3 linked regions of the Macaca mulatta genome follow. The protein of the gene in region 2 interacts with the protein of the main gene of each other region in a pairwise test. Links are inferred from orthologs where the notes say so. Each region holds a gene or a part of one and is shown on either strand. Other genes may lie near its edges.

The links.
Region 1: the proteins of BNIPL (region 2) and GFER interact in a two-hybrid assay, tested with the Homo sapiens proteins (2 studies listed by BioGRID and IntAct). The link is inferred for Macaca mulatta from reciprocal best matches to the Homo sapiens genes BNIPL and GFER.
Region 3: the proteins of BNIPL (region 2) and MIF interact in a two-hybrid assay, tested with the Homo sapiens proteins (2 studies listed by BioGRID and IntAct). The link is inferred for Macaca mulatta from reciprocal best matches to the Homo sapiens genes BNIPL and MIF.

Annotation. Positions count from the first base shown.
Region 1 is NC_133425.1:3,203,622-3,207,352, forward strand, and holds the start of GFER (FAD-linked sulfhydryl oxidase ALR), read left to right. Parts: upstream 1-824; 5' UTR 825-907; coding exon 908-1,165; exon of another isoform or gene 1,166-1,324; intron 1,325-1,434; coding exon 1,435-1,631; intron 1,632-2,549; coding exon 2,550-2,712; 3' UTR 2,713-3,731.
Region 2 is NC_133406.1:116,053,188-116,056,935, reverse strand, and holds the end of BNIPL (bcl-2/adenovirus E1B 19 kDa-interacting protein 2-like protein), read left to right. Parts: intron 1-1,429; coding exon 1,430-1,516; intron 1,517-1,699; coding exon 1,700-1,798; intron 1,799-2,273; coding exon 2,274-2,310; 3' UTR 2,311-3,197; downstream 3,198-3,748. Other genes in the region: C1H1orf56 (protein MENT), read left to right, coding at 3,453-3,748. UniProt on the Homo sapiens protein: May be a bridge molecule between BCL2 and ARHGAP1/CDC42 in promoting cell death.
Region 3 is NC_133415.1:28,066,981-28,069,693, forward strand, and holds MIF (macrophage migration inhibitory factor), read left to right. Parts: upstream 1-1,462; 5' UTR 1,463-1,543; coding exon 1,544-1,651; intron 1,652-1,840; coding exon 1,841-2,013; intron 2,014-2,108; coding exon 2,109-2,175; downstream 2,176-2,713.

The sequences.
Region 1 (3,731 bases), on a different chromosome or scaffold from region 2:
GACCACTGAATTATGAACAGAGGAGGTCAGGGAACAGAGCTGTGTTCCCTGCTCCGCCCAGCACCTGGAACAGCGCTTGGAACAGAGCAGTCACTGCACAAATAATAGCGGAATGGATAAATGAACGCAAGGAGGCAGAGGAATCGCAGAGGCCGCTCCAACTGGGAGCCCGACCCCTCACCCCAGGTTCTAGGGTCCGCGGCAGCTGGCGGGGGGCGCCGGGGAGCCCAAGGCACGCGCCAGCCCTCTGCGGCCGCGCCCCGCCCTGCGTTGCCAGGCGCCCGTTGCCATGGCGCCAGGGCGGTGACACCAGCCCAGAACCCTAGCGCGCGCCGCAATCTGTGCGGTCACGCCCGCCCCGCGTTGAGAAGGCGCTGGGCAGCCAGCCGGTGGGACGCGCCCCTCAGCGGAGGGCACAGAGCCTGGCCGCAGGAACGCAGGACACTCAGAGCGGAGCGATGGGGGCGTCGCGGGCCGCAACACGGACTTTGCCTGAGTGTCAGCCCAGGTCCACAGCGCGCCCGCGGCGCACCTTCCGCTGCGCACCTTCCGCCACACACTGCTCTTCTACTGGAGGAAGCGAGAGCGCCGCCACGGACGGCGCAACCACGGCGTGCGCCGCGGATCGAGGCCCCGGGGTGCCAGCAGGCTCCGGCCCTCCAGCTCCGTCCCTGCCCCTGGCCCCGGGCCCGGCCCCGCCCCGGTCCGCCCCGCGGCCTCTGGCTCCGCCTCCACACGGGCCCGCGCGCCGGCCCCCGCCCCCAACTCCGCCCCAAGCCCCAGCTCGGGCCCGGCCCCCGCGAGCACGGCGCGCGCCTCCGGCTACTGTAGCTGCGCGCTGGCCTGGAAGCTGACCTGGAGGCTCATCTGGAGGCCGAGCTGGCCCGGCAGGCCTTGCGCGGGCAACATGGCGGCGCCCGGCGAGCGGGGCAGCTTCCACGGCCGGAATCTCTTCTTCCTGCCGGGAGGCGCGCGCTCCGAGGTGATGGACGACCTGGCGACCGACGCGCGGGGCCGCGGCGCGGGGCGGAGAGACGCGGCCACCTCGGCCCCGACGCCAGCCCAGGCGCCGACCTCCGAGTCTCCTGTCGCCGTGGACGCCTCCCGGAGGCGGCCGTGCCGGGCCTGCGTGGACTTCAAGACGTGGATGCGGACGCAGCAGAAGGTGCAGATCCCTGCCCGACTTCTCCCAGCCCCGCGCAGCCGCTGCCCCTGCCCCCGCCCAGGTGCCCCGGCAGAGCTCCCCGGGGTTGCCTGTCCCTGAACCTTGCCCCCGGGTAAGCCCGGCCTTACAGCCTTCATCCGCGCGTGGGTTGGATCGTCTGCAGGGCTTTGGCCGGAGTCCAGTGGGCCACCGGCTGGGCCGTAGAAGGGGGAGCTTTGGGCGCTTCTGTTCGGAGAATGAACTCACTCTTGGTTGGCCTGCTTCCGCAGCGGGACACCAAGTTTAGGGAGGACTGCCCGCCGGATCGCGAGGAACTGGGCCGCCACAGCTGGGCTGTTCTCCACACCCTGGCCGCCTACTACCCCGACCTGCCCACCCCAGAACAGCAGCAAGACATGGCCCACTTCATACATTTATTTTCTAAGTTTTACCCCTGTGAGGAGTGTGCTGAAGACCTAAGGGAAAGGTAAGATGTGTTTGCACGCAGCAGAGCTTTGCACTGCAGCCTGGGCTGGGGCTCCTGGCTGACGTAATAGCGGGGAACATAGAGAAACGGATGCAGAGGTGGCAGAAGTTTGCTGAGGAGCAGGGACCTCCAACAGGTGAGGCCTGGGGCCATCTGAGCCTCCTCGTCTTGTCTCAAAAGCCAAACTGTTGGGATCTGCTGCTGAGTACTGCTCCTGCCACAGCCACAGGACTCCAGGAAGGGCTTCCCTGCCTTGTCTGGCACTGAAGACGGCTCCCCGCAAGTTAGGGAGGACTCCACTTTGCCTGACTTCTAGAGCAGGACTGCTGGTTTTAAAATCTTGGAAATCCACTGCTTTTGCCCCCAAGAGCCACCTCTTCCTCACTGAGGCATCCAAGAGCCAGCACTGGCCCTTGCGGGTGTTTCTAGACCAGATGTCTAGGGCAGAGTTGCCATTGTTGCTGTAAGCCTGGGCAGTTAGAATTAAGTCTCTTGCTGAACTGAGGCACCAGGGCCTCCCTCAGGTGCTAAGAAACAAGTCCAGTTTTCAGTTACAAGGCTGTGCCCAGCCCCACCCAGGCCACACTCTGCCTGAGGCCAGAGACGCTGGATGCCGCTTCCTGGGTGTTAGAAGCTTATAAATTTGCCAGGTCTGTGCTGTGATGTCTTGCCTTGAGGCCTCGTTGGAGTTTGCCAAGCTCTCCAGGTGGGTGTTTGAGCAACCCTGGGAGTTCATCACACCCGGGAGCTGCAGGGTCAGCCCTGTTCTGGGAATTCCTGTCCCTTGGAGCATAAGGGCACTCCCAGGTGTAGCTCACAGCAGTGCCCCAGTTGTCTTTCCTTGGGAGCAGACAGGGAACTGGCAGGGGCAGTGGAGCCGCTGCGTCCTCCCATTCTTTACATGCTCTCCCTATGCAGGCTGTGCAGGAACCAGCCAGACACCCGCACTCGGGCAGGCTTCACGCAGTGGCTGTGCCACCTGCACAATGAAGTGAACCGCAAGCTGGGCAAGCCTGACTTCGACTGCTCAAAAGTGGATGAGCGCTGGCGCGACGGCTGGAAGGATGGCTCCTGTGACTAGAGGGTGGTCAGCCAGAGCCCATGGGACAGCGAGCCAGGCGCCTATGGAGTGGCCTGGTTGGACAGGGGCAGGGCACTCATTAAAGTGCATCAGAGCCAGAGCCTGTTGTGTCTCAGTTGGGTGGTCCCCAGGACACTGCCCGTGGGGACCTGCCCTGCCCCTGTTAGGTTTGGAGCAGAAGTGGAGGTGCACACAGCAGGCACCCACTGGCCTCCTCCTCAGTGGAGGCCCCAAGGAGCTGCAGCTGAACTGCAGGTGAGGGAGGCAGGAACAGCCTGGGCTGCCCCTTGGCATTCAGGATGTGACTTCCTGCCCACCGCATACCCTGGTGCCTCGCTTCTCACACAGGAAGACAGCAGGCCTGGCTGGGCGTCCCTGTGCCTGTTCCTGGAGGCCAGGCCTTTGCCTTCCCACTATGCAGCCAGGCATGCCCCTGCCCCCCGTGGCTCTGTGCTGCTCACTTTAGGGGGCTCAGTTCTCTACTCCGCTCAGTCCCTACAGGGAAAGCTCAGGCAGGGTCTTTCTGAGGGTCCACCAGCCATCCTGCCCTCTCCCTGCCTGGCACATGCCTGCCAGCGTTGTGCCATGCCTGTCCACAGGGGATTCGTGGGGCCCGCTTCCTCAGAGTTTGAAGCCCAAATGAAACGTTGAAGTGACTGAGGACCTGGCTTCAGTGTGTTTTCTGCTGGGTCTTATAGCAGTGGGCAGGGCTTGTTCCATCCCTGTGTGCCCAGCTGCATTTCCTGCTGGGGTCCTCGTTCCTCAGGAGGAGAGAGATCCCTACATGAGAATGAGCTGGGAACAGCAAGGACGCTGATTGGTTGGGGCGGGGAGGCCAGAGTAGCTGATGCAGGGGCCCCAGGAGTACAGGGTGGCCAGACGGCACAAGGTCTCCAAGGCCCCGGCAGAGCCATGGCTTCTACTCCCAGCTCCCCTGACAGGAAGTTCCTGGTGGGTTTGGAGCCAGGGGATGGCATGGAGTGATGTGGCTTTGAAGGGTCCTCTGGCTGCTGAGCTGG
Region 2 (3,748 bases):
TCAAGCGATCCTCCCACCTCAGCCTCCCAAGTAACTGGGACTACAGGCATGGGCCACCATGCTCGGCTAACTTTTGTATTTTTTGTAGAGATGGAGTTTCACCATTTTGCCCAGGCTGATCTCAAACTCCTGAGCTCAAGTGATCTGCCCGCCTCCACCTCCCAAAGTGCTGGGATTATAGGCATGAGGCACTGCACCTGGCCACTTTAGCTTCTTTATCTGTAAAATGGCAATGATTATACTTTTGCCACTGGGTATTTGTGAAAAGCAATTAAATTAGTGTGGCATATTGCCTGGCACACAGGAAGCACTCTTCTCTTCTCTCAGTCTTGCTATTTATTTCCCTTTCCATACCTCCATTATCTTCTTCTCTGCCTTCATCACTGACCTATGTGTCTTCTCTGTCACCAGGCTGTAGTGCAGTGGTGCGATCATGGCTCACTGGAACCTCTGCCTCCCTGGCTCAAGCCACTCTCCCACCTCAGCCTTCCAAGTAGCTGGGAGTACAGGCATGCGCCACCACCATGCCTAGCTAATTTTTGTATTTTGTTGTTGTTGTTGTTAGAGACAGGGTTTTGCCATGTTTCTCAGGCCAGTCTTGAACTCCTGAGCTCAGGTGATCTGCCTGCCTCAGCCTCCCAAAGTGCTGGGATTACAGGCGTGAGACACTGTCTCTGGCCCTATGTCTTCTTTTCCTTCTCAGGATTTTTTTTTCCCCTTTTGTTTCCCCCATCTCCCTTTGCTCACTTTTCTCTTCTTGCCCCCTTTCCTTTTTTTGTCCTTGCTGGTCTTCTTCCACCTAGAGTTTTATAAGTAATCTTGGTCATGGAGCGATGCAAAAGCATGCAAAAGGAACTTACGCAAGGGTAGGGCACAAGAGGGAAATGGAGCAGAAAAAGACCAGGTGGCTGGGCACGGTGGCTCATGTCTGTAATCCCAGCACTTTGGAAGGCCGAGGTGGGCGGATCACAAGGTGAGGAGTTCAAGACCAGCCTGGCCAACATGGTGACAAGTCACCATCTCTACTAAAAATATATAAAAATTAGCTGGGCATGGTGGCGTGTGCCTATAATCCCAGCTTCTTGGGAGGCTGAGGCAGAAGAATTGATTGAAACCGGAAGGTGGAGGGTTGCAGTGAGCCGAGATCGCACCACTGCACTCCAGCCTGGCGACAGAGCGAGATTCCGTCTCAAAAAAAAAAAAAAAAAAAAAATCTGAAAGGAGAGTTTTTTAAAAGTGAGGATCATGGAGGGCTAAATAAGATGGGCGGAGCTGAGATTACAGCTGACGGAATGGGGATTAGACCCAAGTACCAGATAAATCTAGAAACTAGAGAAGTGAAGGAAGTTACAGTACAGAAAACAGTTCCACTTGATCTTCACACATAAAGGTGGAAGAAGAAATAGGATGATCTCCTGTTGTTTTTCAGGCTACGGAAAAACCTGCGAGCCCTGGTGGTTGTCCATGCTACATGGTATGTGAAGGCATTTCTGGCACTGCTTCGGCCCTTCATCAGGTACTAGTTCTAGGAACAAGGACTCCCTTCTCCTTCCCCCCATTTTCAAAATCAAGATTAAGATCTTTCTCCACCTTGATTCTTTCTAGCCTTAACCACTCTACTTCTACATTTTTCTTTGCAAGGATTTTTGGGAACCCTTCTCCCAATACAAAACACAGTTGGTTTATTCTCTCTTTTCAGTTCCAAATTCACACGAAAAATCCGTTTTCTGGACAGCCTGGGGGAGCTGGCGCAACTCGTATCCCTGGATCAAGTCCACATCCCTGAAGCTGTCAGACAGTGAGTTTCACACTTAAGGATAAAGCTTTGGGGGTGGGATGTGTAAAGCCAATCCCTACTTTTTTAATGCCTTGGGGGACATACAAAAGAACGAAAAGACAGAGGCCCTGCTTTTGGGTGCTTTAATATATATGGGGAAACTGCACACACCCAGAGAAGAAATGAAGGACACTATTGCATCCAACAAGAATAAATGAAAAAAAACCCTATATATATAAGTGCAGAGGCAATAAGGAATAATCACAGTGCAGAGGAGATTCCGACTGGCCCTAGAAATTAGGAAGAGATGTGTTGGAAGTGAACAGATGATATCCAGTGGGGGAGAGGGTATTAGGGAGCAAAAGTGCTAAATGATGACTCAACCCAATCATCTAGCTCTTCCAGTTCACCTGGCTTGTCTCCCCAAACCAGAAAGTAAAACCCAAGTCCTGCCCCTGAACCTCTTCTCTCCTCTCGTCTCCCCTCCCTCTCCTAGGCTGGACCGGGATCTCCATGGCTCAGGAGGGACCTAACACAGGACTGGATAAAAGGCCTTAGAACCAGTTAGTGATCTGCCTACACCTGAATCCCTGAAACATCTGAGCTGTTTTGTAAATCATCTTATCCCCAATCTCAGTACCACTGGATCTTCACTTCTCAGTGGGATTTTGTCCTTTGCATGACCCTGCCTTCAGCAGGGCTTTGAGACTGGGAAGCTGGTCTGCTGGGTGACTTTCATTCCAGTTGTTGGGGCGGAAGGCTGAATGTAGGGTCATTTTGTATGGGATATGCAGAGCTCTGGGGTTGTTTTGTTTTTTGAGTTGGAGTCCGGCTCTGTGGCCAAGCTGGAGTGCAGTGACGCCATCTCGGCTCACTGCAACCTCTGTCTCCTGGTTCGAGCCATTCTTCTGCCTCAGCATCCCGAGTAGCTGAGACTACAGGCACACACCACGCCCAATTAATTTTTTTGTATTTTTAGTACAGACAGGGTTTCACCTTGTTGGCCAGGATGGTCTTGATCTCTTGACCTCGTGATCTGCCCGCCTCAGCCTCCCAAAGTGCAGAGATTACAGTTGTGAGCCACTGCGCCCGGCCAGAGCTCTGGGTTTTAATCCTACTTTAGCTGTAGAACCTTGGGCAAATCATCTTTTTGGGTCCTCATTTTCCTCCTCTCTAAGTGGAGGGGCTGTGATCCTTCCACCTTGGATGGAAGAGGCTTACCTGACAGCCAGCCTGCCTGCTGGGAGCCAGGAGAGTCAGCTCCTTAAATCTTGAAGAACCCCTGTATGCCCTTTTTCCTTCTAAGTCATGTCTGCTGCCTGTGAGCCTGGGAAGGAGTGCTTTCAAAACCTGTATTTTGCGCTTTAGTAAATTTAGAACTGTAGAGACTAATAAACTGCGATGAGACATTTAAGCTCTACTCCAAAGAAGTGAACGACTCTTTCACCACCCCTTGCATCCCAAACCTTCTTTCGGTTCTGGCAGAGTTCTTGCCGCAGAGATTCCTTAGGAGCACCCCGCGCGGTGCGCGGGCGCCTGCGCGTCGAACCCCACCCCCTTCCCCGCGGGCCTCGGTTCAAACGACCCAGTGGGTCTAGAGCGGAAGGGAGGGAGCGAAGGTAGGAGGCAGGGCCTGCCTCAGTGGCCTCCCTCCCAACCCCAAGAGCCCAGCCCCATGGTCCCCGCCGCCGGCGCGCTGCTGTGGGTCCTGCTGCTGAGTCTGGGTCCCCGGGCGGCGGGGGCCCAAGGCCTGACCCAGACTCCGACCGCAATGCAGAGGATCAGTTTACGCTCTGCGGGCCCCAGGACCCGCAGCTACCGGAGCACCGCCCGGCCTGTTCTTCCCCGGAAGACGAGGATAATCCTAGAGGACGATAATGATGCCATGGCCGACGCCGACCGCCTGGCTGGACCGGCGGCTGCAGAGCTCTTGGCCGCCACGGTGTCCACCGGCTTTAGCCGGTCGTCCAC
Region 3 (2,713 bases), on a different chromosome or scaffold from region 2:
AGCTAAATCTGCTGCCTGGGGCTGGGAAACAGACTCCTCCCTCGAGAAGCAGCAGTCCACCATAGGGAAGTCACAGTGGTCCAGGCCAAAGGCAATGCAGCTAGTGCAGACTAGGCAGTAGTGCAGGGAATGGAGAGAAGTGGGAATAAAGGGATAGTGAAAGGAGGCACATTTCACTGGCAGGTGATCAGGTGTAGGAGGACAAGTCATATATCTGGACTTTACAGAGCAGTGGACACTCAGTCGGCTGCTGTCAGTGCCTGGGGCTTAGGGGAGTGCCCCTGGCTGGAGACATGGCATGGAGTGCCATCATTTAGGGAGCCCTGGACACAAGTAAGAGAAGGTGCGACAGCAGGAGGGAAAGAGTCTGGGGCCCAGCTGCAGGAACCAACACCCATAGGCTATTTGTATAAATGGGCCATGGGGCCTCCCAACTGGAGGCTGGCTGGTGCCACGAGGGTCCCACAGGCATGGGTGTCCCTACTATATCACATGGCCTTCACCGAGACTGGTATATGGATTGCACCTATCAGAGACCAAGGACAGGACCTCCCTGGAAATCTGAGGACCTGGCCTGTGATCCACTTGCTGCCTTGTCCTCTTCCTGCTATGTCATGGCTTATCTTCTTTCACCCATTCATTCATTCATTCATTCGGCAGTATTAAGTCAATGTCTCTAGTATGCTTGGCACCTGCTAGATGGTCCCCAAGTTTACCATTAGTGGAAAAGACAGTTAAGAAATTCAGCAAGGGCTCTATGAGAGGGCATACACGGTGGACCTGACTAGGGTGTGGCTTCCCTGAGGAGCTGAAGTTGCCCAGAGGCCCAGAGAAGTGGAGCTGCGCACGTTTGAACCACTGAACCTGGTCTCGACCTCACCACCTTCGGTGCCTCCCAGCATCCTATCCTCTTTAAAGAGCAGGGATTCAGGGAAGTTCCCCGGATGGTGATTCGCAGGGGCAGCTCCCCTCTCACCTGCCGCAGTGACTGCCCCTCCCCATCTCAAACACACAAGCTAACGCGTGCAGGGACTGGAGCCCTTGGGGACGCGTGGCCCAAAGACTCAGGAGGTACAGGGGCTCAGTGCGTGCAGTGGAATCAACTCGGCTTCATCTCTGGAAGGGCAAGGGGCCATCTTCCGGGTTCACCACCGCATCCCCACTGCCGGCACAGCGCCTCCTGGCGACTATCATCGGTGACTTAGTGAAAGGACTAAGAAAGACCCGAAGCGAGGCCGGGACAGGCCGATTTCTAGCGGCCAGGTGGAGAACGGTTTGGAACAGTGCGCCGGGCTTAGCGGCGGTTGCTGGAGGAACGGGCAGAGTCGCCCAGGGTCCTGCCCTGCGGGGCGGAGCCGAGGCAGGCGGTGACGTCCCCACTGGAGGCGGAGCCGCAGCCTCGCGGGGTCGGGGCCTGGCGCAGGTGGTGGCGTCACAAAAGGCGGGGCCGCAGTAGTGTCCGAGAAGTCAGGCACGTAGCTCAGCTGCGGCCGCGGCGCGTGAGTTTGTGCTTCTGCGCGGGTGTCCGGGTTCTTCTGCCATCATGCCGATGTTCATCGTAAATACCAACGTGCCCCGCGCCTCCGTGCCGGACGGGTTCCTCTCCGAGCTCACCCAGCAGCTGGCGCAGGCCACCGGCAAGCCCCCCCAGGTTTGCCGGGAGGGGACAGGAAGAGGGGGTGCAGGCCGGACGAGGGGGTCCCGCGCTGGGAGCTGGGGAGGCGACTCCCGAACGGAGCTGGGGGGACGGAGCGGGGGGAGGACGGTGGCTCGGGCCCGAAGTGGACGCTTGGGGCTTGGCGAGGTCGCTGGGGCGGGCTGACCGCGCCCCTTCATGCAGTACATCGCGGTGCACGTGGTCCCGGACCAGCTCATGGCCTTCGGAGGCTCCAGCGAGCCTTGCGCGCTCTGCAGCCTGCACAGCATCGGCAAGATCGGCGGCGCGCAGAACCGCTCCTACAGCAAGCTGCTGTGCGGCCTGCTGGCCGAGCGCCTGCGCATCAGCCCGGACAGGTACGCGGAGGCGCGGAGGCGCGGGGGAGGGGCGGCGGCGCGCGGCCAGGCCGGTGACTGAGCCGCCCGCTGAGTCCAGCCTCCTCCCCGCGCAGGGTCTACATCAACTATTACGACATGAACGCGGCCAACGTGGGCTGGAACAACTCCACCTTCGCCTAAGAGCCGCCGGGCCCCACGCGGTCCGCGCTGGCTGGACCCGGGAACCCGCCGCACGCAGTGTTCTAGGCTCGCCCACCCCAACCTTCTGGAGAAATAAAACGGTTTAGAGACCAGGAGTGCCTCGCTGTTCCTTGGCTTGCGGGAGGAATTGGTGCAGAGCCGGGACATTGGGGAGCGAGGCCAGGAACGGTGTTGGGGACGGGGGTCAGGGCGGGGTTGCTCCCCTCGGAGCCTGTTCGGGAGCCCTTTTGTCCAGTCTGTCCCTCCTACGCTCCCAACAGAGAAGCCCCAGTGTCTTTCCATTCTGTGGCCTATGAAGGGATGAGGAGAAGTTGGCACCCTGCCCTGGGCTGCAGACTGGGGATCTAAGGCGCTTTGCCCGCCCGAATCTGTTCTACCTAGGGCCACCACGTGGGGTGCTTGAGGTGAGCCCACTACGGAAGTGGGGGAGGAGGAGTTGGAGTTGAGAGTCCCAGGCCTTCTAGGCCTAGACCTTTCTCTCAGCCCCACCTCCCCCAGCCTTCTTGATGGGCAGAGG